Arabidopsis thaliana: one gene and its partner. The protein of the gene in region 1 purifies or fractionates together with the protein of each later gene. This does not show direct contact. Each region holds a gene or a part of one and is shown in the gene's direction. Other genes may lie near its edges.

Region 1 (15,027 bases):
CATGCGAAGTATAAAAGATTATCTTTTTAAAGTAATACAATTCAAAGAATCTTCTTCTTTTTAGCCAGAAACAAAGATTAGCTTACATAAATATGAAGACACTTATTTTATACAATGGATTATGCTCTGGATTACGTAGTCCAACATTACATGAAATAGCTGCCTCTTAAATACTACAAGAAGAAATATTTTAAACAAGAACACATATTCAGATTTATAAAACCACTACGTAATATTTGGTCCCGCAATTTCCATTGTAATCACTATGACCAGATTAATTATTGTTCTTAATAGGCTAATAGCTACAATAAATAAATGATTAAATAAACAGAGCTGGTGCTAGAACGATGGAGTTTCTTTAAGAAAGAATGTCACTACTGCTAGAGTCCTCCCCATCGAGCTACTGCTGAAGAAGTGATGATATTTTATAGAAAATATGTTTCTAGATAGTTCTCATCAACTTATTTGTTTACATAGAGGTATTTTATTGTTTTTTTTTTCACTTACAAGTGCAAGGCAACTATCGCGTTCAATGATATTTTCCAGTAGCACAACAATTTTGGGATTCGCATTTGGGAGGCTAGATTGAAAAGAATGATTGGTACTTTAAACTATATGTTTTCGTCATCCGATTAAGTGATTTTTGGTTTAGCAGTTTCTTTAGAAGAGAATTATCTAGTTCGAGTCCACCTAGAGGACCCGGTATTCTTAAAAGGAATATATTAATTAAAGAATGATCCCATGTCTACAAAAATTAGGACTTAGATCTGAATTTCTCGAACTTTTTTAAAAAAACATGTGAATACCTTTTACATTTGTCATTTATACATGATACAATCGAAAAAATAAATTATGTAGGTGTATATTTGAGTGTGTTGGAATCTTTTCTCTTTGTTCCTTTGTACTACATTATTCGTGTTTTTCTAATCGTCGAGTTTCTCGATGTAGCTATTGTTTTACTTTTGATACTTAGCTTTGTGGTGACATTACGATTAATTAGTAGGTTTTCAAAAAATTTAGGTTTTTTAACGTTTGACCTTCAATGATCTCTTTTTTTTTTTTTAATTAAGAATCTTTCAATTATTCTGGCAATGATTATACAGATGAATTTTGGGTGTTCTATATATATATATGACCACTATCTCAACATATCTGCTCACATCAGTTTTTGAATTATGTACAACTACCATCCTAAATTATATTTTTGTTATTCATGTATATAGCACACCACATACAAGTTTGGGACTAATCAAGTTTGACAAGAAGGGTTTAAATATTCAAGTCATGTCGTTATTTATAGTCTACAAATTTTATGGATTATACCTACACCTCTCTATGAAGAAATTGGCTGCCTTTAAACATATAGAGATTCAAATGGGTCCGATTTAATTTTCCTATTAAAATTTTCAATATATGGTGGATGTTTGATCATTGCGACGGTGAATAACACTTTTTTCCTAAATTGTGTATACTTAAGAAAAGAGTAATGGCGGCATTGAACAATTATAAAAAAGATAGTATATAATAAGTATATTTCAATTCCACTATGTATAAAGAGACAAATTAAAATAGTTTAGTCACTGATTGGAAAACTAGACTTTATGAGCCATCCCCCACAAATCGGAAGGGATCTATGATAAATGATTATAAAAAAAAATTGATTGTTCATTAGCATGCTTGATTTTGATTTGTTTATCAGCTCTCTCTTCTTAGACAACAACACGCCGACGATATTCCGTTTTGACTTTCACTGTTAAATTGCACTTTGGGGACTCTTTTGTACTTTAAGTTCACTCCTAATTATTGGAGATTACAAATTTACAACTTATAATTTTTTAAAAAGTGACAACTGACGTGAGATTTGTTTAGTCTTAAGACAAAAATAAATAAATAAGAGAACGAGCAGCATATTGGCCAATAGAAATATAATGGGCCTAATGGGCTAACTTCTGTTGTTGCTCTTCAGTTAAATAGATAAGACCTCTTGAAAACATGATGGGCCTAATGGGCTACAAATATGAATTTTAGCACCGGTCCCTAGAGAACAATAACACGTGACGTCAAAAGCATCGGATTAGAGAAAGAAGAAGAAGAAGAAGAAGCCGATTCTAGGAAAAATCCGATACTCTTTGGACAGTCTATGGCCACCGATCTCTACGGCGATCTCTTTCCGGTTATCACTTCGTCACTACACATTTGCTTCTTCCGTTTTCGTATCGGATCGAATACTATTCATCTTTCTTCGAATCGGGTGAGTTCGAGAATCTAAAGCTTACACCTTTAGTTACGATTCGTCTGCTGTTTGATTTTGAATTCATATATTTGTTTATCTGCAGAACTATCCATTCACTCAATTTATAAGATTTTACTGATTTTGTGTTGGTGAGCTGAGATAATGATAAACTCACTCAGAAATGATTCTACACTTTAGTTGATGTAATTGTGTATGTGTTTATGAGTACTGAAACGTATCTGTTTATATTCCAGTTATCCAGTAATTGTTATTTTATATGAAAAGGTTTGTTTTTTATGTGAATTAGGTTTCTTTGAACCTTTGAAGCTATGGGTGATGCAATCGATTTGAGTGGAGATGGTGGCGTCTTGAAAAAGATTGTAAGGAGTGCCAAACCTGATGCTATTTCACCCTCTGATGATCTTCCTGTTGTCGATGGTATGTTCTTAAGATTGACTAGTGATCAGGGTCAATATATTGTTCATCTACTGCTTATGCTACTCCTAATTATATGTGTTGATGAAGGACCATAACCTTGTTTGATTTTAACTTAGTTCATTATGAGGGTATCTTGGCTGAAGACGAAAAGGTTTTCGACACTACTCGCGAAGACAATCTTGTTTTCTCCTTTGAGTTAGGAACAGGCAGTGTTATCCGTTCTTGGGACATTGCTCTTAAAACCATGAAGGTTTCTACAATTTTGAGTCTTTCTTCTATCCTTATAATCTGAACGCTTCAGTTATTATATACAACTGATTTGATTTTTTTTACAGGTTGGAGAAGTTGCAAAAATTACATGTAAGCCAGAATATGCTTACGGAAGAGCCGGGTCTCCTCCCGACATCCCACCTGAGTATGTTATGTTCCAAACTTCTTGCATCTCGTTCAAGGGAGTGTGACAGTTTTTTTTTTGTTTTTGTAATTGAGATTTTTGGTAATTGCAGTGCAACTTTGATTTTCGAGGTGGAATTGGTTGCTTGTAGACCGAGGAAAGGTGCTAGTGTTGGAAGTGTTTCTGAAGAGAGAGCCAGGCTAGAGTAAGTATTATAAATACCATTTGGACCTAACTTTTGACTTGTTATCATGTGTGTAAATATGAAAACTTTTTTGCTTCATGGTTGCAGAGATCTGAAGAAGCAGAGAGAGATTGCTGCAGCTGCGAAAGAGGATGATAAGAAAAAGAGAGAAGAAGCAAAAGCTGCTGCAGCTGCTAGGATTCAAGCTAAGCTAGACGCTAAGAAAGGTCCAGGCAAAGGAAAAGGCAAAGGCAAAGCTAAATAAGTCGAATGCAAAAGACCTGTCACTACTATTTCATGATGAATCTAAATCAAACTTTTGGAAAGGGAGAGTCATCAGTTACATCATATTGAGTTATTGACCATTACATGATTTGTTTGGGGTTTAATTCGCACGCACATTAATAACATAAACAAGTGTTCGAAACCAAACTTTTCAAACCATGTCGGAAGCATCATCATCAATCTCATCTTGTTCTTGCCATCCTGAATGAGCTCTAAATTTACAGACAGGACATGTTCCTTGCTGTCTCAACCATGGATCGATACATCCTGCATGAAACTGAGCAAACGGATATATGTCTGAGTCGTGACACAGTAAAGAGCTGGAAGATTTTCAGTTTAAGATAAAAGTAAAAATGGAAACCTGATGCAAACAAGGTAAGGTGCGAACGATTTCCCCTACGGTAACTTGTTCTAGGCAAACACTACATGTGAGCTCATCTTCTGTTCCTTTTTTACTTTCATTGGCAGAATCTAGCATCTTCTGCTTTGAATAAGAGGAAAACGACATGAAAAATTAAGACATTGTTAGCCACTTAGCAAGAACTTTTTACCGAGCATATGAGTATTGACCAGTTCAAATGTGATTTTTGTATATCGGCTATTTTTTGTGTGTGGGGTGGGGGGAAATGTAAATATGTCATATACCTCAGCTGAGGATGAGGTTGACGCTTGCTTTGCCAAAGAGCAACCACTGTCAACAAAAGCGAACGCAAGACAAAAACCATGAATACAGATTCATTCACAATAATTAGAAAGAAAACAAAAAGGCGTTGAGCTATGAAAACTGAGAAAAGTTTCACTCAGTAACAAATTTTAAATGTTCATTCCACAATAAAACTAGCGCCTGACGATTAACCAAAGAAGTGATGGGATCAACGGAACTCATGATTTTAGAAGATTCTATTGAAAAACAAATCTTTAGTAACTCAATGGACAATCAATACCTTACATGTTCCGTTTAGCAAAGCAAACAATAAACCTAAGTACAATATCAGTTTCTAACTTATTAAGTTGTATATTCTACCACCCCACCTTCCCCTGTTAAGGAAGTTAAGGTCTATACAAGTTGCTATATCACATCATCCTAACTTACTATTTTCTTAATTCCTCAATGTTTCCACATTTGAAAGCATTTTAAACTGTTAAAAGAGAAACAAGGTACAATATTGACTCACTTTTCAGGATCCAACACCTTGTACTTGTGAACTGGAAGTGCATTTATCTCTTCCTCGCTCATAGAAGTTGTGGAAACATTATCAGAATCAAGTGCTCTTAAAGTTTCATAATCTGTTGCAGCAGAACAACTTTTGTCTCAGACTTCAACCATAGAAAGCAAACTACTAAACTATAGACTAATAAAAAGGAACAAGCGGATGATACTGACCTAAGTCATCAAATTCCCGATCAAGAAGAGCCAGCTGGAGCCTAAGTCCCTGAAGACGCCCTCTCGTAGCAAGAGCAATGGAAGGAGGCACATGCAACCTCAGCTCAGTATGGCTAAAGAGGCCACTTGCTGCTGCAGCCTGAGCCTGAGCATGAGCTTGAAGTTGTTGGCAAGTAGCATACATCCTAAGCGTCGTTGCCATCAAAAACACCCCAAGCACAAGCCACAGCTACAAAATTAATGGAAATGTCAAACTCACACCCGAAAGACGACTAACTCAAAAGGAAAAAACTTTAACTCACGTATTTAATCATACCAGGAAATTAGGAGGCATCTGATGCGAATTGAGAATCATAAACAGCAAAAGAACTGAAATACACAAACCAAACACAAGTATTAACAACATCACAACTGAAGATAACATAGAAGGTGAAAGTTTGAATTTACCTGTAACCAGAAAAGCGAGGGAATTAGAATTAACTGGTCGAGCTCCATGAACACGCTGATACCAAAAGACACTTGCAATAAGTATCATTCTAACAAAAACCATTGTATATGTTTTCAAGAAAGCATACCATAGCTCGTCTTTCGGGTAGAAAACCACCCGAGAATCCGCTTTCTAAATCTCCTCTACTTCCCCGGAAAACAAAGCTCATGTCTTCCAAATTCACAAGAGAGCCTGCAAAAGAAAACAATTGCCACTGAATCTATATTTGGTTCTATCAAATTAATTCAAAACTCTATAAACTAGAATTCGAGAAACCATGTTGATCACAGCAATAAAGGAGAGGCATTTAAACCCTATGCTGATCCAAACAAAACAATAACACGAATCTTTTCACATAAGCCAAGAGATTGAAAATGAGAAGGTTTCATTCATGGATCAAAAAAATTGAACGGAGCTAGAGATCGGAGGAGAAATTCACCTGAAAGTAGGAGAAATCTCTACGGAGAAGAGTCGGATTTACTCACTTAACATAGGCGTGGTGACGACGGAGTCACGAAAATCGCTTGTCGGACCGAGTCGACTCGGACCGAGTTATCGCTAACCTGAGGATATAGTTTTTGTCTTCATTAACACAGACCATTAACTTCATATGGTTTAACTGTTGCTGACGCACTAGCTTAAAAACGTCGTCGTTTTGATGTTGCCACTTATTACTTTCTCTCCTACTCTCATGACTTTATGTTATGATGCAATAATTTCACCACAAGAATCTGACTTAACGTTGGATATGTTTCAAATCGAAATTAGATAAATATGGAAAATTCACAAATTAACCATCCAAATTAGATAAAAGGGACTTCTCCTTTTATTTTTATTTTATAAAGATTTATAGTAATTCCTATCCGTATATTATTTAATTTAATAATGTATTAAAGATATATATATATATATAATTTTTTTTTTTTTTTTTATAAAGATATTACTATATCCCATAATGAAAAACCAATATATAAAGAAGTTCAATGGAACGTAGGTTTCCAAAATCCAAACCGTCTCACAAGTCACAACTTCCGCCTCTTTCCTCTCTCTCTCTCTCTTCCGGTGATTCCTTTAGCCTATAGATCAGCGGTTGATCTCAACAGAGAGATAAGTTTGTTTTTAAGAGATTTTGATATCTAGCTAGGGTTTACTTTGGATATTTCTTCGTCTCCCCTAGGGCATAATTACTGGTGCAGATATGGATTCCATGATCAAAGATGTTGATCCTTCCGTATTGTTAGCCAATGGCTTTATTCAATCCCACTTCACGAACTTAAATACTTCCGAAGCATTAGCCAATTGCTTTCTCCAATCTTACTTCCTGAATCTAGGAGTCTATCCCGAGGTAGTTCAGATGATGTGGTATGCCGACGACAGTGTTATGACTAGACCCGGTCCTGATGGTACAATGATGTCTTTTACATCGCCTGAGGTATTGTCATTAATCAGATCAAATCTTTCTCATGAGTTTCTGTTTTTAGTTTGATGTTCTGGTTGGGAGTAATTATATTTTATAACAATAATTCTTTTAGTTATATTTTTAACGTTTTCAAAACGTATAAACTTGAAAAAAGCTGTAAACGATTTATAAGGACAAACAATTTTTTGATGGTGCAGGCAATTCAGGAGCAAATCGTTTCATGCGACTATGAAGGTGCTTCGTTTGATGTGATGAGTTTTGCTGCTCAGAGTTGCAATACCAGTTCTGAAGATGGAGCATTTATCATGGTTACTGGTTTCTTGACTTGTAAAGACAAACAAGTGAGGAGGAGATTTGTTCAATCTTTGTATTTAGCTCGTCGTCAAGATAGGTCTTATGCCATTGTCAATGATTTCCTCCGCTATATCGATTCAATACCAGCATTACCTTCTGTTCCTGAATCCGGTAAACAGCTGTATAAATTGTGTTTGATATTCAATTTTAGAATAGTAAGTGTTTAGCTTCATGAGATTACAAAACTTACTAACTTAGTTTTGGTGTGACTATATATATAAGCAGATTTTGCAGCTGGATTTGTCAAGGTTTACTACGAGTTGCCTATGCGTGAGGAACTTGGTTTGATGTATGTCAATGAAAGTATTATGAGCAGACCGACTTCGACTTCTGGTAGAACAATGGTCGAGATGCCTGGCCTCGATGTAAGTTGCAAAAGTTCCTAATTCCAATGTATTTCTAGAGAAATTTTAGTGGAATAAATCTAAGGGGTTAGTTTTTTGGTGCAGGCAATCAACAAGAGGGTCTCAAATGAGCATAAGAGGGCTTCTAATTTTATATTGAATAGTGTGGATTATCAGATCAGCAGATCCTTTAAAGATAGAATGTTTATCATGGTTTGCGGTTTCGTGACTCTAGACGACAAAACAGAGAGAAAGTTCTTGCAATTTTTCTATGTGACACGTTGTCACAATGGGTCTTATGTCATCTACAATGACATCCTCCGTTATGTTGATGTTACCCCTCGAGACACACTTGAAAGCTCGAGCCAGTCCGCTGCAAAACCTAGTACTGATGTCGAGCTTCCTTACTTCATGGTTAAGAAGGGGAAGCTACTCTCTTATTTTAACAACATAGACACGCAAAATTACCCCCACTAATAGTTTATGCTAGTGTTGTTCTTTTTTTAAATGCATTTAATTTTGTTCCTTTATGTCCTTTTTTTATATACAAAACCTTATTCGTCTATGTTCTTTTTATTTGAGCTTTATAAATTTCTTTTTTTCTCATAGAAGAATCCTTGTTCTCTGTTCCGAGATATTTGTTCTATGAGACTATGACTGAAAAATGATTTATCTCTATTTCGTGTTGTAATCTTGAACTTATGCAATGAATTGTTCAAAATCAGGTTACGCTAACCACAAGATTTGAGACCAACGATCAACTCAAAATATTAAGCAACAGCATATGATAAAAATATTTTACATTTTAACATTCAGATTACTTGTTTTCATGGTGAAATATTATGCTTGAAACGTTACTAAAACATGGTTAAAAGAACCAATTATCTTGGATCAGTTCTTGTTTTACCGGAGAAGGAAAATATCGACGAAGTAGTAGTTTCATTCGGTCCGCTATAAAACCTAGCTGAATCCACAAAATCTTCAAACTCGCCTGCACTACCGCTGCGCTCATCAAGACACATACTATCATTTGCATCTAGAAAATCCGGTGCAGGAACAACTTCAGGCGACGGAAACTGCTTTTCGAGATACATAACTACTTGTCTCATTGTAGGTCGAACCTCGGGTGAATTATTTGAGCATAGAAGCCCTAATTTGATCACCATAACCACTTCCTCTTCGTCAAACTCACCGTTCAATCTCCTGTCCACAACATCTCTAATGTCTCCGCTTTGCCACCTTGACCAAACCCAATCAACCATTACAAGCTCCTCTGGTAACGCACTTGTTTCGATAGGTCTTCTTCCGCAAGCTACTTCCAATAAAACCGCTCCAAACGCATAAACATCGGTGCTTGTTGTCAGTTTTCCGGATTTTGTGAGTTCTGGTGCTAAGTACCCAAATGTGCCAACCACTCTTGTAGCCCCCGGATCCGATCCATGCTCATATAACTTAGCAAGACCGAAATCTCCTACCCGTCCGTTCATTTCGCTGTCCAACAAAACGTTTGCAGCTTTAATATCGCGGTGAATAACCGTTTGTTCCCATCCTTCGTGTAGGTAGAGTAAACCGGAAGCAACCCCTTTTATGATTTTGAATCTTTGCTTCCAAGTCAAGATAACTTCAGGGTTTTCGTCGAACAAGTACATGTCTAAGCTTCCATTAGGCATGAAATCATAGACAAGAAGCAAATCATCCCGCCTTCGACACCAACCGAGCAACTGAACAAGATTCCTATGCCGGAGGTGACCAATGCTTGAGACCTCAGACATAAATTCTCGTACACCTTGTCTTGACTCATGAGAGATTCTCTTGACGGCTACAAATTCGTCTGAACCCGGGAGCTTTCCTTTGTATACTTTACCAAACCCGCCAGACCCGAGAAGCTCTTTGTCCCCAAAACCATTAGTAGCTTTCTTGAGCTCTCTGTAAGAAAATCTATGCGGACCAAAATCAAGCTCCCATTCTTCAACTCTGTCTTCATCTTTCACCTTTCTTACCACGAACAACGATGCAGCGACAAGAACCGCGAAGATCAAAAGGGAACACAAGAGAGATACTCCAAGAATCAAACTCTGTCTCTTCTTCTTCCTCTTCTTGATTGAACTAGGAATCCGAGGAAGAGATGGCAAAGACAGAGAAAATGCTTCTCCACTCATGTTAAAGTTCCAACCTAAGATGTAATGTGAACTAGCTAGCAAACCGGTGGAAGCAGAGAATCCAACATACATTTCATCTCCCAAAACAGAGGATAGGTCAACATCGTAAGAGAGAAGAGACAACTTTGGTTTCTCTGAGAATGGAGAAAGTTTAACATCTAACCTTTTCTTGTTTGAATCGTAATCAATCCAAGCTTGAATCACTCTACCACCATCAAGGAAAAGCTCCTTTTTGGTTGAGTTAGCGAGGAAATAGCCAGCAGGAGTCGAAATACTCGATTCCATACTGTTTATATCGATTCCTACATGGTTATCATTAATGTCCTCAAACTCCAAATCCCTGACAGTATCGAATTCCACAGCGAAGAAGTGGCTAGAGAAGTTAACTCTGCTTGAATTCAACAGGCCTAAGTACTGGCTAGGAAGAGAACCTCTGAGATCTGGAGTTGGAGTGATGGCGAAGGCAAGTCCGTGGCCACCAAGAGTAACAAACTCTGGAACCATGGCGATTGCAAAAGACGTGGAGAAAGACAGAGCTCGGTTTACACCGATTGGCTTGAACCGTATTGGTAAGGAGTAGAAAGCGTGACCAATCACGCGCTGTGTCTCTGTTGTGAGCCTGATTGCTCCAGTGGGGGCGATCTCTGCAACTCCGTTTAACGTTAAATTTGGTGAGGCTTTTTTGAAGCCAATGAAGGAGAAGTCTTGAATTAGAGATGAAACTAAGTGTGTTAAGAAGATGAGTAGTAACAAGATGACAGCAAAGGTTTGAGACATCAAGAATTGTTTTCTTGGGAGAGAAGTAAAAAGAGTAAGGGCTACTTAGGTACTAGGGTTATAGTTCTAATATATGATCTATTTGGAGGATAGGTCAAGAAGATGGTGAGGATACGAAAGCATGTGATACTGTTTATAATGTTGGTGATACAGGAACATGTTATTATTTCTAGACTGATGATACTTTATGATATCTAATATTTAAACAGAGAATTCAAATCTACCATTAAACTACGATTATACGAGGTTAGTACGTACCATAATTATAGGTTCTGGGTGTTGTTAATATCAATTGAGATCGTCGGTATTGATTAGTTTAATAGATAAGAAAGTACGTATAACTGTATAAGTAGTAATCAAACGATCTACCAGTTTCCACTTATAATTCTTTTTTTTCTTCCGACGGATACAACTGTATTACTAGAGGTTATCGGGGGTTGATCATGTTTCATAATTTAATTTTTCTTAACGGTATAAATGATAATTTTCGCACTAAAATTTGTTAACTAAATCAAAACTCCAAATAATCTATCTTCTTTTACATCTTTGGATTGATAAGATCCGATCGATATTCAATCTTATGGTGACTATATTTGTTTTTTAAAAATATATTTGTTTTCAATAAAAATAAATTACCCTACACAGGTTAAAATCTAGTTAGTGTTGTAAATACATAATTTTGTTGGGTAACTCCAAAAGCATTACAGTCTGGACACAATTTTAGTAATGTGGTTCAGCACCAATGACGATATCTTGGAATAAGTACTATACTAAAACCAATAACTTTATATATTTTCACCATTCGATAAATATTCATCAATTAGATATGCTAAGTAGCTAAAGTATCGTCATGACTCAAGTTTTTATACAGATGTAGTATTGATTGTGTAAATGATCCACTTGACATTGAAAATTATTGGATTGGAACAAATTATCATTCAGAAACGATAAGTAAGAAGAATATTCTTGGATAGGAAGAAAAAGTCAATTAATCAATCAACTAAGACACTGGAAAAACAAAAAAGAAATGAGATAAGTCTATGTTTTGGATTGATGATTGACGGCCAAACTAAGGATAAAAGTCCTTCGAGAAAAAGGGTTGTTGGAAAAAATGGTTAAAAGATAATAAAAGCTGAAGAAAATGGATTACGATTTCCGTTGATTGTGGTTGATATTGAAATGTAAATAGTAGGATGATGAAATAACGAATATTATATACTAGGAACATGCTTAAGTAAAAAATTTAGTGAATAATCACAAAATTCGAAACTTTTCTATATTTCATAACTCTTCATTAAGCACATAGTGGAGAATTATGTCGGTCGAAATTGGCTCAGTAAACTCCTCATTGTGCCGGCCAACTTAGAAGCTGAATCCGTACCAAAAGATCTAAACCTAATTTAACCACATTATTTTATAATCAAACAAAATAAATCAATCTGAACCAAGAAATTAGATATCCTCTCCTATTAGCAACTCGAGCACTCGGTTTTGAATATTTTGTATACAAGAAGTACAGATATATAGTTACACTTAAACCTTAAATCCGAATTAGTTCTTAGTTTTCATATCAATAAGACAATAACCACTATTCCACTAATAACGAAAATGTACCAGAGAAATACAAATTCAGATGAGCGAAATTTTCTAAATTTACTGTTTTGAGTTCAAAACAATTAAATTCGAAACCGGGACAAGGACAACAATTTTTCACAAATATCACCTTATTATGTCACAAAAGTAGCGGTGAACAGAAAAACAAATTTGTACTTAGCCGTTGACATACAAAATTGCTACGGAGTTTAGTCATCATGGGACCATATATTCCGTACTCATGTTTTTTTGATATACCATAAAAGGGATATTTAAGACCAGAGACAATGCCAAAGATCCAAACATTTTGGGAAAAACACAGTTTTGATAAATCATGCTTTTTGGGACCAAAGAAATCAACTTTGTTGAAATTCCTCAGCTAACAAACAATGCTCACTAGAAGAGTAAAACAACAAACACATGTCAATGAGAAAGCTTCTCTACAAGTCTCTTTTAAGCACATAAAACCTCATCAACATTAATCCTCCACAAAGCTAAAATCCGGTTTTGTATTGCTCTATTCTTATGTCATAAGGACTAAGATTCAAAATGCAGCATAAATAAACTTTCTATTAGCAAAATATAAAGTTTCGCTACAAGTCTCTAAGTACATAAACGATAAACAACATTATTCGCCCGCAAAGCTAGAATCCAGTGTTGTACTCTAATCTTATGTCAAAAGCACTAAAGATTCAAAATGCAGAATATTTAAACTATCTTCCTGCATATCTCCTTAATGCATACAAGCTCAAGAAGAACAAAGTAATAGAGCCAAATACAAAAAGCTAATCTAATCTAATCAGCCTCAACAAGTAAGAGTATGAAGACTGAAGAGTAAAGATCTAAGAAAGGTATCAAACAATTAAAAGACACAGATTAACAAACAGCAGAATATCGAAAAGAATCACACTTACTTACCGACATTAAGAAAGGAATGATAGTCGTAATTGCTTCCATTGCAAAGGCCACACACCATTGCTTGGTTTTTTCCAACATCAAAATTCAAAAGACGATTCTACAATCAATTCACTTTCATACAAAGCTATCCGCGATCAAAATAGTCAAGTCAGAAAAGCCGCCACAAAACAAACAAACAAACACTAGCTAATTGTCATCCGAATTATCCGTAAAAAAAAAAGAAACTTGATAGCTTTAATAAACAAAAGCCTAACCATCCTAATGGAAAATATAATCATTCCAGTAAAAAGAACGCACCAACCACCGCCTATCTAACTAATCAATACGAAGGAGGAGCACGAGGCGGAGGACCACCCCAATACACGTCGTGTTGAGCCATTTGATGACCATTTGGGATAAAATTAGGAGGCATATTATACATCGGCGGCTGCATCGATCCTTCGTTTCCGTTATTCCCACTCTCGTTATCATCATTCTCTTCTTTCTGCTTCTTCCCATCTTCTAGTTGAAGCGGCTGCTCTTGCTGTTGTTCTTCCTCAATCGGTAACCTCTCATAAGTGGCATTGCAAAACGTAGCAGCTATCACAATAACGGGTCCAGAGGCAATAAGCGGGCCAGCAACTCCACCTCCCACAACTTGACCTTGAGCTCCAGCTAAGTAAATGGTTAAACCAGCGGCTGCAGCAGGAGAGCCAGACGTAGGAAGAAAAGCCCCACACATAGACAAGATCTCAAACTGACCACGTAAACTAACAACTCCACCGGATGCAGCAGGCTGACGCAGAGTAACATTAGTAACCAAACCACTACCGCTCAGCACCGAAACGCCCCGGCCGCGTCTACGAGCAAAGGCGTTTAAGCTTTCCGCCACGTCAGCTCCCGTAGCAATCTCAAGAACATGGCTCTGGAGAGAGTTAGGGCTTTCTTTGGTAACAACAACTGGACTCTTTGGTTTGTTCTTGGAACCAGGAGGTCTACCTCTAGGACGACGACCCGTAGACCCGGATCCGGATCCGGGTTCAACAGCTGGTTGCTCGTCTCTGCTGTTCTGTTCTTCTTGGCTCTGAGTCTGGGTATTAGGGCTTCCACTGTTGTTGGTGGTGAAGTCATGGTCCAATCTTGGATCCGAACGAGTCATAGTCGGTGGGTTGTTGTTGTTACTGTTTCTGTGGTGCAAAGAAGGAGCTGATGACGTCACTGGACTCTCAACTCCACCGATCGCAACATTCCCTACCCACCAAGGATTCGCCATTCTTTTTTTCTTCTCTAATGGAAATAAAACGAGAAAGAGAATCTTTTTCTTTTTCTTGTTTTTTTTGTTGAAGTTGGTGTTGATGGCTCTCCGACAAGAAACTATTACAAGACAGGAAGAGAATCCGAAAACCTTATCTTAAACTTTTAGATTAACCAAATCCAAACCAACATGTTGCATGAAGCAGACACACAAGACATGGGGGTATCATTTGTTTGCTATCATCATACCTGAGAGAGAGGAAAAAAAAAGAATCAGATCTACAAGAAGAACAAGAAAACGCACAAAATAAATTTTCCTTAAAGCAATATTCCCCAAAAAGCTAAGATCAAATAAGGAAAAAAAACCAAATAAAATCCTCCAAAAAAAGATACAAAAATCTTCCCATTCGAATATAAAAAACTTACCTTTATCATAAAAGGAACTTCTTTGTCTGTTTTTTTTTTTTGGCTTGCTACTGAAAAAAGGTTAAAATCAAAAGAAGTAGAAGACAGAGAGAGAAAGATAGACCCAACAGGGTTTTTTTTTTTTGGCAGGGGAGGAGGATTTTGTACTTTGAAAGTCATGAAGTCTTTTTATTATTACCGTCTCTTTCTATATTGTACTTTGGAAAATATTGAGAGCATGCGTACGTTAAAAAGGACTGAAGGAAAAGAGGCGTACGATAAGGGGGTTGTGATTTGATCTTTCGTGATTGAAGTTCTCTGAAGCGGTCCTCTCTTCTCTCTCTCTCTCGACCAGAGCCGTCCTTTTGGACCATTGAACTTTTAGGTGTTCGTGCAAAAGTTTTTGAGCGAGCTTCTCT
Region 2 (16,280 bases), on another chromosome or scaffold:
CAATATTATATATAAATATACATTAAAAAATAAATTGTATTTTTTTTTATAGCTATATGATCATCACATTTTTAACATTACATTTTTAAATAACATATAGACCTATTATGTACCTTGGAGCATATCCTAGTATATACATATTTTGTGTGTATTTGTATTCAAATTTACAATATATAAAATTTATTTTTTGAATCTAATAAGAAAAATACGGTGTTAAACTAGAACTTAAGATACATTCCTTGTACAAAAAAAATTATGTCTAAAATATTTATATATCATCGCATTCGCCGAGTTATTTGTAAAAAGAATTTTGACATGCCTAAAGAGATATAGATGGAACTGGTAATCCAAAACATCAAAAATTCTTTATCGATTCAATCAAAGCCTATTGTCTCGAGAACTCCTTCATCGAGACTTACTTCTAACGGCTCAGAAATCTGCAAGAGCTAGACATGGTCATATATAGTTAAATCTGATCCAGTTGAGTTGAATTTGTGTTTGTTTTACTTTTTCTCAACTGAAATTTTCAAATTTTCAATTTCAGAGCGATTGATTTTTTTGTTGATCTTATTTTAGAGGATGTTGAGAGAGAACACTTGGACTTAGCCATGTAGCAAATAATCATACTCCTCCGATTATTCAATGATTTGTCTACCGATCTTTTTTAAAAGTATCATAAGCTGCTTACTATGATTAGTTGTGTTATTCTAGCTAATACATTTTCTAAAGAGTTACATTTATGACATGGTGCCAGATCTTTTTTGATTTGGTGGTGTATATATTGATGAATACACGAAGGAAAAAATATTCACAGTCAATGGCAGGACCACAACCAATTCGCAAAGATTGGTTGAGCTACGTAAAGGAGGCATTAATTTGGTTGAGCTGGATCCTCATGGAAAAGTGAATAAGAGATTTGTTTGATTGATATTGGATTTATATGAACTTGGTTTATCCGTTCTCTTGCCTATCTCGATAACAGTTGACCCTTTTGTTTGAAGAAAGGAGCAAGATTGATTGGGAGCCTATCTCGCCTTGGGTCCACAAGGTACTTGAATAGCTAACAGATGATTGTGATGATATGATATTGTCATTATATCAAAAATCTTTCTTCTAGAGAATAACTTGTTCTGAACAAAATTTTGTCTAGACAATTTTAAATAACAAACTTATTTATCCATTTCTCCTTCTCTAAAGCAGACAATTTTTTCAAATCATTTATCACACTAATATTATTTACAAAAAAAATAAAGGAAAAAGAATAAGGGTTAAAATTCTACAACATTCAAAAATATAAAAAATGTGAACTTTCTAACATGATAATTAAAATTGTTCTTTAGTTTTTATTTATTAATATTTTGCCTATTTTTAAATATGAAAAGTTAAAATTATTTAAATTAAGTAAAAACATGAATTTTCTTTTTCAAGCTCAAAATAATTTAAACAAGCCGACAAAAAAGAAAAGGTTTGCTTACTACACATACATAGTTATCTTTTTGTAGTAAGTAGTAGAGCTATCAAGCGGGGCCATCAGACTTTGCTTTAATTTGATAGGCCTAGTAAGTAATGTCATAACTTTGTTTTTTGTGGTCAAGTTTAATATTTCCTCTATTCATAAAAGAACGATGTTTGAAATTTTTTCGCACAAATTAAGAAAACTAATTTTGATATTATTTTATTATTATTAATTTAATAATATTAGCTCTAATTCTCTCTTTTCTCTATTAAGGATTAATAAAAATAAAATAATATTAATTTAGAACATCAAATTTTGTGGAACAATAATAAAACCAAAACATCAAAGTCCATAGAACAGAGAAAATATTTCATTTAGGGCGAGACGTTCGGGCTTTGCTTCAAATTGACAAGCCTAGTAAGTAGTGTCATAACTTTGTTTTTTGTGCTCATGTTTAATATTTCATTTGATCTGAATTGTATTAATTTATTTTTATTTACAGCTTAAATCTTAATAGGAATATTAAAAAAAATACCGAATGAGTACTCGTGGCAATATAAGCTTATGGTAGTTTGTTTTGGACAGACAACAAATTCTATTGTCAGCCGCTTGAACCTTTTGATAGCTAAACCAAATTTCTACAACCATTTTGGGCCTCGATTTCTTTGTTGGGTTGTGGGCCTTGCGGCCTTTTTGTTTTATTTGTTTTAAATATCTACAACCATCTTGTTAGGCGGTCTCAGTCCATTATATTGTAAACCATTTAAAAATATCAAATAAAATGTATTTTGACAATAAATTAAATAATAACAAATACCACAAAATGAAAAGGCATAAAAATCAAACAAAAATGGTATATAAACAATTTTAAGGTCATCTCAACGTGACACCAAAACAACCAAATTTAGTGTCAAAATCTCTCCAACAAGACTGTATAATTAACACTAAGTATACAAATGTTAGACCGAGTAATTAGCTGTTAAACAGAAACGCTAACCTAATCTTTCTCTCTCTCCCTCTCAGACTGCGAATCCGAGAAAAGCAGCTTTGATCTATATCATCTGTTTCTTCGATATTTTTGGTTCAAATCATCATCATTTTTCACTATAAGTTCTTCTGTCTTGAAACGATTATGAGATCGCAGATTCTTTAACTCCTTGTTTGAATGTCTAAGCTAATTTGACGAACAGTAATATATGTCTCTCTAACTTTATGTAGAATTTAGTTTATGAACGTTAAATCATCATTATTCTTTTTAAGAGTCATAGATTCACATATCGTCCTTGATAAAGAGATTAAAGATTATTTTTTAAAATTGTTGTTCCTCATTTTATTTTGTATTTTTCTAGTTGTTAACTTTTTAATATGTGTTGTTCTTCATTTGATTATGTAATTTTGTCCTTGATTATGTGTTTGTCTAATATAATTGTTTGTTCTTTTAATTCTCAGATGGCTTCTAATTCATTAGAAAACAACAATGATGGCATTCTTAGTGAAGAGATTGATGGAGAAGATGGTCCACATACCTCTTTTGTTGGAGAAAAAATAACAAAATCTCAGATATCAAGTTCGATTATTTCAACAAAACCGAGGAAAAAACCCAGCTCATAGAGCATCTGTGTGGAAGCATTTTATTTAAAAGGAAGACAATATATCTGTAAGCAACTGTCGATACTGTGGCACAGAGATATAGTGTGACATAGTCAAAACTTGAACAAGTGCAATGACCAATCACATCAGATGGTTCAAGTTATCCAAGGTGTATGAAGAAAGTGATAGTCAAAAAGTTTTAGCTCGAGATAACAGTGGTGTAATGATAACAATCAAGTATGATAAAGGGTTGTTTAGAAGATCTGTGAATGAGATGATAATGCTTAATGAGTTACCTTTTTCATTTGTGGAATTTGAAAGGTTTAGGAGATTTTGTGCCAACAATCTCTCATGTACATGGTTCATTGTAGGAAGACATCCACTTCAGATTGTTATGGAATGTTTTTCCAAGAGAAAAATTCTTTGAAGAAGTTGTTTGATAAGGATAAACAGAGAGTGTCATTGGTAACAGATATTGGGTAGCTACCACAACTTCTTGTAGTTACATGGTGGTGACAGCTTACTAGATTGATAAATATTGGAAATTACAGAAATGGATCATTAGCTTCAAGCATGTCATTGATCACAAATGATATATCATTGCATCACTTTTGATTGGCTGTCTAGATGAATTGGGCATCAAGAAAGTCTTCACAATGAGTGTAGATAAATGCAAAGGGAAATGGCAAAGCTTTACGGTTATTCACAGAGGATTTGATGGTGAGAGTTCTAGATGCATTAGTTCAAAGTGGTGAGTATATTCATATGCGTTGGTGCGCTCATATTTTAAACCTGATAGTCAAAGATGGGATATGTAAAGCTAATCATAATATAATGGCTATCCAAAATGCAATCAAGTATGTGAGGTCATCGAGTGAAAGACTCAAATCTTTAAATCTAGGGTTGAGGCATGAAATGTAAGTAAATAAAACTTATGTCTAGATGTTGTTACTAGGTGGAATTCGACTTATCTTATGCTCACAGTTGCAATCACGTTTAGAGGTGCATTTGATAAGATGTTGGCTGAAGATAAGTTATAGAAAAGAATGAAGATGATGATGCTGATGATGATAATGATGGCAAACATGTTGGTCCTCCATCTTCTGCTAGTTAGCTGGGATGAAGTGCAAATGTTAGTTAAGTTTCTGAAAATCTTTTTTAATTGCATTCTTTCCTCTTCAACATTTAAATAAGTGACATCCTCTATTTGGTATAATCTAATGATGATGGTTATGAGATGATGGACTCTTTGTACACTAAGATGGTAGCAGAGACTACAAATATAGAATCTAGTAAGGAACTTGACATTTACCTGCTTGAAAAATATGTGCTAAGAATTACAAGTGGTTTGAGATTGGATTATGATGTCTTAAGATGGTGGAGGAGGAATAGTTCTAAATTGCAATCTTTGCAGAATTAACAAGAGATGTGCTTGTCATACATGTCTCCTTTCTCAATTTAGAGTCTGCATTCAACACTAGTGGTCGTATTTTGGATCCTTTCTGAAGTTGCTTGTCACCACTCATGGTTGAATCATTGATTTGCATTCAGCAATGGCTCATGAATATCATTAGTTGAGAAGTTAGCAAACCTGATTCAGATGTTCGAAGAATTAAAGTTTTATGAGTCTTTAAGTACTCATTTTCTCTCTATCTTTCAGTTTTTTTTTGTTGTTATTTTTATATCTATAGACTCAACTACATTTTATTTGCCTTGTGTAGCTTCTGAGAGTACTCATACACAATCATTAGTTGCTCATTGACGTGGAGTTGAAAATTGAGGTATATTTGATATATTTTTTTGTCATTCATTTACCTGTGAGAGCCTTTTCTTTTAATCAGTAATATATTTTTATTTTCTTTCACAACAGACAAGGTGACAAATGCATTAAGATTTTTAAGCGGCTTAAAGGCTTGTCTTTTCTCTTTATTTATTTTGTATAACTAACTCTTTCTCTTTTGGCATCGACAAAACAATGACAACATACCAAATGGACCTGTAAGAACTTAGGCAGAATGGATCATTGGTAGTTTGTCATTTGTGTCAAGTTACATGTTTTTTGGAACAACTTATGTATCTTTTGTATATATCACGATGATTAAGGTTCGCTACTAAGTTGTTGTTGTATTAATAATTGATGCGTCTTTTTGTTTGGTTGATTTTACATTCGTTTAGTGATCAGACCAAAAAAACTGAATAAACCATGTTTGAACTGAACCAAAGCGAATTATTAATCGGTTCGTTTTAGAAAAAGTTCATTTTCCAAAAAAAACAAAAATCAAGTAACGGAAACAGAATTAACTTTTTCGGATCAAAATTGCATGCCTATAAAATTTTATGTTATTAATCCAAATCCATCCAATCATTTTTTTTCGTTTTTGAAACCGATAAATTATTTGTTATTGTTTGTGAACAATATTCAAAAGTCCCAAATCAATAAAAAGAAGAAAAAAACTAATTATGATTTGGAAATAAAAAAAGAATTAATCAAATCAAATTAAAATCCTCACTAAATTGTAAACATGGTGTACATAATATGATTACGTGACAAAATATTATTGAAAAGATATCCAAAAAATTGCAAAAAAAAAAGAATAAGAAAAAAGGCCAAAACCAAATTCTCAATTCTGGTCGGAGTTTGTCTTTATAAAAAAATCTTAGAAGCCATATATATTTTCTGTTTATATATTTTGTACAACAAACTCTTTCTCTTTTAGCGTCTACAAAATAGTGACAACATACCAAATACACTTATAAGAACTGAGGCAAAATGGATTATTGGTACTTTGTCATTTGTCAAGTGACATGTTCTTTTAGAACAACTTATGTATTTTTTGTATCATGAATCATGATGATTAAGGTTTGCTACCGAGTTGTTTTTGTATTCATAATTTATGCGTCATTGTTGTTAACTTGTTGTTTGGTTGATTAGTGATCAGACCAAAAAAATTGAATAAACCATGTTCGAACTGAACAAAGCGAATTATTAGTCAATTCGTTTTAGGAAATGCTTTATTTTCCAAAAACCCCGAAAAATCAAGTAACCAAAACCAAATTAACCGTTCGAATCAAAATCAAAGACCTATAAAATTCTATGATATTAGTCCAAAACTAAATCCAAATCCATCCAATCATCTTGTTCTTTTTCCGAAACCAAAATAATATTTGTTATTATTTATGAACAATATTCAAAAATCCCAAACCAATAATAATAATAATAAAAAAAAACTAATTAGGATTTGGAAATTAGAAGAACAACTAATCAAATCAAATAAAAATCCTCACTAAATTGTAAACAGGATATGATTACGTGACAAAATATTATTGAAAAAATATCCAAAAAGTTGCAAAAAAAACAAAAAAAAAGCATAAGCAAAAAAAAAGAGAGGCCAAAACCAAATTCCCAATTCTGGTCGGAGTTTGTCTGTAAAAAAAACCCTAGAAGCCATATATAAACACCACAAGTAAACTCGTTTCTTCACCTTCCTTCTCTCCTTCACTCTAATTGCGATTGATTCTCCTGTCTTCTCCAATTTATCAGGTAATTGCTTCTGCTTCATACTTCATACCTTATTTTCCAATCTCTCAATCCATCTTTGTATTGGAGCAAAGTTTATACCTTTCAATTTCTCAAACTCGACTAGTTATAGATCTATGGAAGTTCAGTTCAAACCTTACATATATAATATCTGGAGAAACCAACTATGTGTACTTGCAATTACAATAAGCTAATAGATTTCGTACTATAAAGTTAGATCCACATAGTACAATTCTAAGTTATGCAGATTGGAGCTCTTGTGAATTTTTGTTTGATTCGATTTTGCTTGAGACTGTCTTAGAGAAATTGCAGAGATGACACCTGAATCAAACGCTCCCTCAGTAGATCCACAATTTGTAGGCAATGGGTTTGTTCAAGAATACTATAACCACCTTTATGATTCAACCTCGGAAGTACACAAATTCTATCTCGAGGATAGTATGATTTCACGGCCTGGTCTCGATGGTGAGATAGTTACTATCAAATCCTTGAAAGTAAGTTCCTTTAGCCACTTTCATAGTATGTCTCATTGAATTATTGTTGTTAGTATTGATTCGACGAATGTTTCATCGTGTTTGCAGGGGATTAATGATCAGATAATGTCCATTGACTACAAAAGCTCAAGGATCGAGATTCTAACTGCTGATTCTCAATCAACTTTAAAGAATGGTGTTGTAACTCTAGTCACGGGTTTAGTGATCGGGAACGATGGAGGAAGGAGGAAATTTTCTCAGAGTTTCTTTCTTGTGTCGCGGAATGGAAGCTACTTTGTGCTGAATGATACCTTTAGGTATGTGTCTGATGAGTTTGTTGAACCAGAAGCTACCAAGGAGGTTGAGGAGAGTCAGTCAACAAATGCTATCACTGGTAAGTCGTTTTACCAATGGTTTCAAGAATCTGAAAATATTCACCACCTTGACATTGTTTTGATTCATGTGGTAATGGTTTTGATTAGCAGAGCCTGCAAATGAAAGTGTAGAGGCGGTTATTGTCCCTACTGAAGCTAAAACTACGGTGACGAAGCCAGCAAGTGCCATACCAAACGGACATGCGAAAGTCCCTGAGGAGAAAGTTGTGAATGAAAACAGTAGCTTACCTAAAGCTGCTGAAGCAAAACTTCAAGAGGAGGTTCCCAAGAAATCGTTTGCATTAATTGTAAGTCTCCTCCTTTGTGCTTAGTTTTTATCGTATAATATCCTCTAATCTGTTGGTGTGATTTCAAACTTACAGGTTCAATCTCTGGCTCAAAGCGCTGGTACTTTACAGGTTAAAGCCTCGCCGGTCAAGCGTAAACCTGTCGAAAAACCGGTTGCTGCTCCGGAGCGCAAAGCTCCTTCCCCAATTCGTAAACAGGCTTCTGCTGAAAGCATTAAACCACAAGGTTGGTTATTCATTGTTTAATAGTTAAAAACAATGAATTTGAAAATTCTTCTACTTGCTTTTGTCTCATTTGATTATTTGTTTTTCACGTATCAGCTCAGGGTAGTTCCATATTTGTTGCAAACTTGCCTATGGATGCGACTATTGAGCAACTTTATGAAACATTTAAAAGTTTTGGAGCTATTAGAAAGGATGGTATCCAAGTCAGAAGTTACCCGGTTAGTTATTCTTTCAATGATCTACAAAAAAATTATTTGCAAAGTTTGAAAAACCTTATAACTGGTTCAATCACACGCTTAAAAATCTGTGAATTTTCAGGAAAAAAAGAACTGTATTGGGTTTGTGGCATTCGAAAATGGTGAAGCAGTAAAAAATGTCTTTCAGGTATGTTTTTGTTTGCATATCAAACTCTCGGCTATAATGTAATTTGAAGTTCTTGTTATCTGATCTCCAAATGCACAACTCTAGGCTCACAGGGAATCACCAATCAGAATCGGAAACCGAAGAGCATCTATAGAAGAAAAGCGAGGCAAGTTTCTGAAAGGCATTGTTGTCTCAAAGATTGTAACTTTAATTAAATGTAAAAACAAAATCCTAATCTTACTTTTTCTGGATTATGCAGGAGGTAACAATCAAAATGGCAACAGAGTCTCTACAAGAAACAACAGTGGTTATAAAAATGAGGATGGTTTCAGACGTGATGGATACAAACCTAGGGGCAGTGGCGTCAATGGAGGACGAGGCTATGGGAGACGGAACAGTGAGTCTAATGGGGATGGTAAAGCATACCAGAACAATGGCCATGGCAATACTGAGGCCAAAAACTAGATTAGTTTTTTCTTCTTCTAAGCTTTGCTCATGGTTGAGAATCTGAGGTTGTAGGCGATGTTAAAACAAATTTTTGTTTCCGTGGATATCTTAGGTGTTGATCTTTTCGATTTGTGATATTGTTTGGGGATAAATCTAGAACATTTTTCTTCACTCTTTGATCTCTGTATCTTCTCATGAACAAAGCAGAGAACAAAATCGAATTGATTTAAGGTTCTAATGACCTACATACTTTCTTTACAGGAGATAAACTCCACAACTTTTGTTTTTGTCTAATCAAACATCAAAACAGAATCAAGAACAAGAAGAACAACACCACGGACATTGAGGAAAACATGAGAAGCACCTACACATTGACTGCTTCTGATTTGTTGCATCTGCTACTGGTTTTTGTGACTCTTGTGACTGATTTGCTTGTTCCTTCTGTTTCTCCGTTTCTACCTTTCTTGAATCACTTGCAGCTCCAGCCAAACTGTAAAAACCAAAAAAGCAAAGCAAGAAACTTTCATTAAAACCGAGGGGAGGAAATGTTTGTCAGCCATGGTCATGGATGGAGTGTATTTACATTGGGAAAGAGAAGGAGTGCGCGCTGTTTGAGCTTCGGTTAGAACGGTAAGAAGTTGTAGGAGTTTTCCAAGAAACAGCAGGATGTTGTTCTTTCTCATGGCTTTCTCTTTTCCCTTCTTCTTCATCTGATGATGATGTATGTGTTTCTTCTACTAGTACAACTTTCTCTTCCTTATCTGATTCAACAACTTTCGGTTCTTCGACTACGGGTTTTGGTTCCGATCCTGGTACAGGCGGCATAGGAAGTCCAGGACTATACGCAAGTAACTCACCGGATTTATAAAGTTCACCTGATTTCATCAAATCACCACCATAACCAGTGAAACTATTGTTTCCTAAATGAATACTGAAGAGAGATTCATTCGAAGTGCAGCTCCATTCAGCTGGCACATTCGATTTGCTTCTCTCGAAAACCGAAGATGGAATCCTATTCGGGTCATATTTTCCGTTGTTATCTCTATCCATTACTTGAACAGGTGGTGAAGAAATCTCCGGATCATTCAATGATTCTTTTAGTACCTCTTCAGGTAGATCTTTCGGTGGCGATAAATACGAAGAAGAAGAAGACGAAGATGACGAAGACGACGATAATCTTGAATGTGATTCTGAGTTAATAATTACAGTTTCTGTTTCTTGTAAAGGTATCGTTTTATGCTCAACATCTCCATTTTCGTCGTCTAATGAACCTTTTTTGTTTACATCTTGATCATGTTTTTGTTTGGATAACACATGTTCTTCATGTTTAGACTCCATAAACACCTGGAGAAGCAATCATCAATGCATCATTTTAAGCAATTTCTCGGGCTATTCGAACAAATATAACATCAAAAAACATACCTTGAAATCGATTTGACCAGAGCCTGATGAGTGAAGTTGTGAAATTTCGTTTCTTTTTCTTGCTAGAGAGAATGAAGGAAGAAAGAAAAAAATTAAGATGAGGAAAAGGGGATCTAGGGTTTGGTTCGTTGTCTGGAGATAAACAGAACGAAAGGTATCTCGTAAAGTTCGGAACTTTAACTAACAAAACCATGGCTGCATTTCGCGCCATGTCTTCTTATCTGTTCTGTTTTATAAATGATCCTCTGTGTTACGGTCTATTTAAGAAACCGTGTTCTATCCAATAGATAAACGCCTTGACTTTTAACACGTGGCTTCAGATACTAGAACAAAAAAAAAAGCATCATTGTTCATCTTCTTCCTCTTCTGTTTACTGTTTGGGGAAAGTGAAAGCTTGTAAACGAAAGGTAACGTTTTTATGGAATCTAGGGTTTGTATTTCCCTTTACTGTAACATGGTCTTTGAAAGTTTCTTCCTTTTTAGGATTCTTTGCTTTTTTCGGGTATGTATTTGGAATTGGATATGGATACTGTAGACCTAATTGATCGGTGTGATTTGTATTGGATAGTTTTAACGGATCGAATTCTTAGAATTAAGATACTGAATCTGAGAATTGGATCTTCTTTAACTGCAAATTTTGTGACTTTTCTTCGTTTTAGTGTCTTAAGAACTTAAACACGAAGTTATTCTTGATAATTTGATGCAGCTTCCACCATTTAGAAAAGTATTGTCTTTTGTTCTGTGAATTTCTCAGGTTCGTTGGTTCTTCAAGAGAGATCATATGAAGAAATTGAATTTGAGTTTCATGTCAAATTTTGTTGTTTTCAGGTTGTAAACTGTGGCCAAAGGTTTACTTGGACTCCTTCTGTTTCACTGGAAACTGTTCATTTGAATGGTGAGAGTTTGATTCTGATGCATTAGTAAATTGTAAGGAAGAGAGGATTGAGCAAACATGGGAGAACAACTAGATCCATTTTCCGCTTCTAATCTTCCGGATTTCATATCTTCTCAAAAAATTGGTAGACCGGTTAATTTCGAAGGACAAACTAACCGTGGGCATCCTTTTTCTGGTCTTAAGAAGAGAGGTCAATCTAGTCGTTCTTGGGTGAAAATTGATCAAGATGGGAACTCTGCGGTTTTGGAGCTCGACAAGGCGACTATAATGAAGCGTTGTTCCTTACCATCCAGGGATTTGAGACTCCTTGACCCTTTGTTTATCTATCCCTCGAGTATTTTGGGGCGTGAGAGAGCGATAGTTGTCAGTCTTGAGAAGATCAGGTGTATTATCACAGCTGAAGAGGTCATTCTCATGAATGCTCGAGATGCATCTGTTGTTCAGTACCAGTCGGAACTGTGTAAACGCCTTCAATCAAACCACAACCTAAATGTTAAAGGTCAGTGGTTTTGGTATAGCTTTGGTGGTCTGGAGTTATGATATAGATTAGATTGCTGATGAAACTGTTATATGTGTTTGGTTTTAGATGATTTGCCATTTGAATTTAAAGCGTTGGAGCTGGTTTTGGAACTATCTTGCTTGTCTTTAGATGCACAGGTATGCCACATTCTCTTCATCATTCTTCTATATGATTTATTGCATGACTTTAAGCTAATTGTTAAGCTCAAAAGTTTTGGTGAACGTGATTTTTAGGTGAATGAGCTTGAGATGGAGGTGTATCCCGTTCTTGATGAACTAGCCACAAACATCAGCACCCTTAATCTAGAACACGTGCGCAGGCTAAAAGGTCGTCTTCTTACCTTAACACAGAAAGTTCAGAAGGTGAACACAAAAGACTCTTCAAATTTGAAAAAGCCCTACTACCATAATTTGATTTTGGAGGTCAAAACTTGCAGGTTTGTGATGAAATAGAGCATTTAATGGATGATGATGATGACATGGCTGAGATGTATTTGACTGAGAAAAAAGAAAGAGCTGAAGCTCATGCGTCAGAGGAGCTAGAAGATAACATTGGTGAGGACTTTGAATCTTCTGGAATAGTTTCGAAGTCTGCGCCGGTTTCACCTGTGGGCTCAACAAGTGGAAACTTTGGGAAGCTTCAAAGAGCCTTTAGCAGCATTGTTGGCTCACATAAAAGCTTGTTAAGCTCCTCTAGCATCGGAGAGAACATTGATCAACTAGAGATGTTACTAGAAGCTTACTTTGTCGTTGTTGATAACACTCTGAGCAAATTATCATCGGTTAGATTCTTCTTAATCTTTCTTTTAAACTCAACTACATGTTGTTTCATCATTTTGATCATGTTCTTGTGTTTGCAGCTGAAAGAGTATATAGATGATACAGAGGATCTGATCAACATTAAGCTGGTAAGGACAGACAAAATCAAGTCTCGTAATCATGTTCTTGTTTCTCTTTGGGTCTCTGACTTTGTCCATGTTTTTGTAGGGGAATGTGCAGAATCAGTTGATTCAGTTTCAACTGCTTCTCACCGCGGCAACCTTTGTGGCAGCTATTTTTGCCGCTGTAACCGCTGTCTTCGGGATGAATTTGCAAGACTCTGTTTTCCAGAATCCGACGACTTTCCAGTATGTTTTACTGATAACAGGTATTGGATGCGGTTTTTTGTATTTTGGTTTTGTGTTATACTTCAAGCACAAGAAAGTATTCCCTCTCTGAAAACTTATGTTAGAGAAGAAGAAGAAGACGCATGTAGTAGCTTCTAATGTAAAGATGAACAACTAATGTCTTTTGCTGAGCTTAGGCTTAACCTCTATAGTGAAACAACTGGATGTGTTTAAGATTAATGATAAGAAATAAGTTTAAGAGAAAGAAAAGCAAAACACAGAAGACACCATCACATTCTATGTCGAAGCAAATTCAAACTAGTGAAAAAATAAGACAGAGAAGAAAATTGAACCGTCATCCTTAAACTTTGGAAGAACATGCATTAGTGAAACAAAGACTAAGCAAATCCTGGAAGAAACCATTGTTTTTGATCTATGTAAACACCGTATCTCTTAGGCCATGTTATTCTACTTGTGGCAAGATTGAAGATACCGCAATTTGAAGGACGATCAAAATCCGGCCAAAGATCATCTTCAACGAAACAGATTGAATCCCTCTTGATTCCATCACCAACATCATGAACTTGTGCTCTCATTGTAACCCCATGACCAAAGATCAACATCTCATTCATCATCTCCAATAGAATGCACTCTCTCCCATTTGCCACTTTCAAGATTCATCTTAAAGATGTAAAACAAAAGTTCCTCTTCATTAGTCTCCTTTTGTTTCCGTTTTTTTAAGCTCAGATTTTAAGAACCTCTCCTGATTCTGCAATCACTATTTTCCTCTTCCAAATGTATTCCTGCGGTTTCTCATCGAAGCGAAATGGATGATTCGAATACGGGTTTGTCAATCCTTCTTCTTTGGGAGAATCTCCAGAGAAATCATAAATCTTGATGTGATGATCCAAAGTATACAGATAAAGCTTGCTGTTCTTATAAGCCATATCGAAAATACTTCCACTGTTTTGATTCCACTTCGAATCATATCCTTTCTTGAGTGAGAACAAGTATTTCTGTTTGAAAAATTAATCCAAGCAACGAAATAATCCTTTGTTCTCTCGTTTATCCACAGAACAGCTGTTGTTTTGCATTCTTCGTTGTCGTCGTTAAAGAGTGTTCCCTACAGCCCTTTCGTCTAATAGATGGAATCTTGATCGTTTTGATCGTTAACAGGTTCAAAATATAGAAATCGAGACCAGAATCTACCAGTAGGAGACAATTCCCGGAGCTAGCCATACAATATCTTCCGTTCAAGCGACGACGGAGGACTCTTGTTTTGAAACTTTCGTCTTCTTTGTGATCAAACAACGTTAAGGTATGTGACCTGCCATGGACGCAGAGACTGACTCACGCATGTTTTCCAAACGGAATACCAATCTGAACAAACGGTTTTTGCTCGATGAAAATCAATAGAGCTCAAGCTTTCCAGGATCGGTCGCAAAAGATCAGGACAAAGCTTGGACCAATCTTGATTTTCAGAAGCTCCTTGTCTCTTCTCTTCTTTCACCAAATCGTTCGGCGTCTCCATGTCTGCGCTTACGTGCCTCACACTCTAGTTGACCTAATGTTTGGATTTAGGGTTAAGAACCACGGAAACCCTAATTAATGCGAGACGTATATATTTATACTGACGATATAACATCAAAACCCATCGATTAAAATTTAACCAATGATATATTTGAACATGTTGCTCACTTTACCTTCATACAAGAGTACCGTATCTTACAAGTTTATAAACCAAAGTTGTGAAGCTTTTAGTCTGTAGATGTTTCTGTGGAATGCATTTTTAGTCATTTTCGATGTCCCGATGAGGCCATCAGAACCGCGACTGCAGCTATGAACATAAATAGCATACTGATAAGAAGTGTATATGTTTTTCTTGATGATCTTTTGTATTCTCCAAACAGCAGTATCCCCCAAAATGTTTATTTTCAATCTTTAAATCATTGAACAGAAAAGAGGTCTTAAACCTGAACAGCTCCTGCAGCAGCATAACCAGCGGCTTGACCGCCCATAAACTGAAGACCATTACCAAATCCACAGAGAAATCCAGCCAAGAAAGACCAGCCTCGACCGTTCCAGTCATTTAGGTAAGCCTTGAAAGATGATCTTGGGAGACCAAGTATAGGCCAATAGAGAAATATGATGTTTAGTATCAGACCAACCCCAAATGAAGAGATGGAGAAGTAGAAGAAGGCTGTGTACACATTGAGTTTTGGAACTCCATGTTTCAAAGTGTGCCAACTCCATGTTTCAAAGTGTGCCATTGATCGTTTGTCGCTAAGCTTACTGCAGGTGAGATTAGAGAGAAACAGATACCGGCAAAGAATGTTATCGCCAGTCCAATTATTGTGCTTTTCCCAAAAACCTGTCAACGCAAATCTTGAGTATCAGTGAATATCAGTTATTTCTGTTTAGGAAAATGCTGTGTGTATTATTATTAACCTTTATGGCTCTTTGTTTCTCAACCTCAATAAGAAAATCTGCAGTCCCTACTTTTGCTTTTCCTTCTTTTATAGAACTTGTTTCCATTTGGAAGGAAGAAGTAGTCTCTAAACTGAAACAAGATCAGATTAGGTTAAAAACCAAACCAAAAGAAAACAAAACAAAGACCTAGTATAGTGAATCTTTTTTTAACCTTTTGAATCCTTGGAGTTTGGATTTGTTATCAGCTGCATTTGATTTATGAACAGCAGAACCGAAACAAACAGCGATCAAGAAACAAGCGACCCCCGGGAAAAGGACCTCAGCTCTGTTGATTCTATCATCCAAGAAATAGTTCAAAGTTGTGCCTGTTGTTGAAAACAAAAGAGTTAATAAGAACAGAGGAAAAAAATCAGTTAAGAGTAGTTGAAGAGAAGAGTTTACCGATAACAACGGCGATACTAGCTGTGATGACTTCAGTGACAGATAACCCAACAAAAGCCCAAGCATATTGTGTTGCTAAGGTCCCAAGGCTAAGAAATATTCCTCCAGCCATTGCAAACATCACAGACGGCCAATTATCCTGTGACAAAAAAACTTTGCATTTCAAAAACCAACAACAAATATGTGTATGAATGTATGTGTAACTGACTTGAGAAAGCTGTGTGGTGAAATTTGGTCTGCTTGGACTTATTTCGCCTAGTGTAAACGCTATGATAACTGCAGCTAACAGGTTTGTCAGTGTGTAGTCAAGATAAGTATGTTGAGGAAGTCTACCGCGTCTTTCGGTTAGAGTCATGATTGCTGGCCATGTCCCTAAGAAGAGCAGAGCCAAGAGCATACAAGTGATTGTTCCTCCTTTGCTCTCTATCACATACATTTTATAAAATCACCAAATCCCACTGCATCAAAGTAAAGAAGTGAGATTCTTCTGTTATCATATCATTGATCTCTCGTGATAAAAATGAAGCTAGTTGTCTTAAGAAAGGTTCTTTAGAACATTAACACAAGACACATGCTGATACAAGAAGATCTCTATAAAACTCAAACCTTATATTCCATTAAATTTCCCTATTGACTAGGTTTCTTGAAAGAGATTACCTTATTAAAGCTTTTGTCTTAACTTTGACTTTGAGG

What was found.
Region 2: the proteins of AT3G55540 (region 1) and AT2G03640 fractionate together in Arabidopsis thaliana (co-fractionation; one large-scale study listed by BioGRID). This does not show direct contact.

Annotation. Positions count from the first base shown.
Region 1 is NC_003074.8:20,591,615-20,606,641, forward strand, and holds AT3G55540 (nuclear transport factor 2 (NTF2) family protein), read left to right. Parts: upstream 1-6,603; coding exon 6,604-6,837; intron 6,838-7,022; coding exon 7,023-7,290; intron 7,291-7,413; coding exon 7,414-7,544; intron 7,545-7,628; coding exon 7,629-8,000; downstream 8,001-15,027. Other genes in the region: AT3G55520 (FKBP-like peptidyl-prolyl cis-trans isomerase family protein), read left to right, coding at 2,563-2,671, 2,788-2,921, 3,007-3,086, 3,178-3,270, 3,358-3,514; SDIR1 (RING/U-box superfamily protein), read right to left, coding at 3,686-3,811, 3,896-4,015, 4,180-4,225, 4,710-4,821, 4,919-5,147, 5,235-5,287, 5,366-5,420, 5,494-5,574; AT3G55550 (Concanavalin A-like lectin protein kinase family protein), read right to left, coding at 8,405-10,459; AGF2 (AT-hook protein of GA feedback 2), read right to left, coding at 13,290-14,222.
Region 2 is NC_003071.7:1,097,037-1,113,316, reverse strand, and holds AT2G03640 (Nuclear transport factor 2 (NTF2) family protein with RNA binding (RRM-RBD-RNP motifs) domain-containing protein), read left to right. Parts: upstream 1-6,449; 5' UTR 6,450-6,587; exon of another isoform or gene 6,588-6,885; 5' UTR 6,886-6,898; coding exon 6,899-7,078; intron 7,079-7,165; coding exon 7,166-7,451; intron 7,452-7,539; coding exon of another isoform or gene 7,540-7,542; coding exon 7,543-7,739; intron 7,740-7,814; coding exon 7,815-7,965; intron 7,966-8,060; coding exon 8,061-8,182; intron 8,183-8,282; coding exon 8,283-8,348; intron 8,349-8,432; coding exon 8,433-8,792; 3' UTR 8,793-9,003; downstream 9,004-16,280. Other genes in the region: AT2G03630 (suppressor SRP40-like protein), read right to left, coding at 9,087-9,264, 9,358-10,112; MGT3 (magnesium transporter 3), read left to right, coding at 11,149-11,590, 11,678-11,748, 11,845-11,973, 12,048-12,392, 12,471-12,518, 12,598-12,828; AT2G03610 (F-box family protein), read right to left, coding at 13,115-13,351, 13,475-13,711, 14,071-14,247; UPS3 (ureide permease 3), read right to left, coding at 14,684-15,073, 15,165-15,276, 15,358-15,511, 15,588-15,726, 15,796-16,023.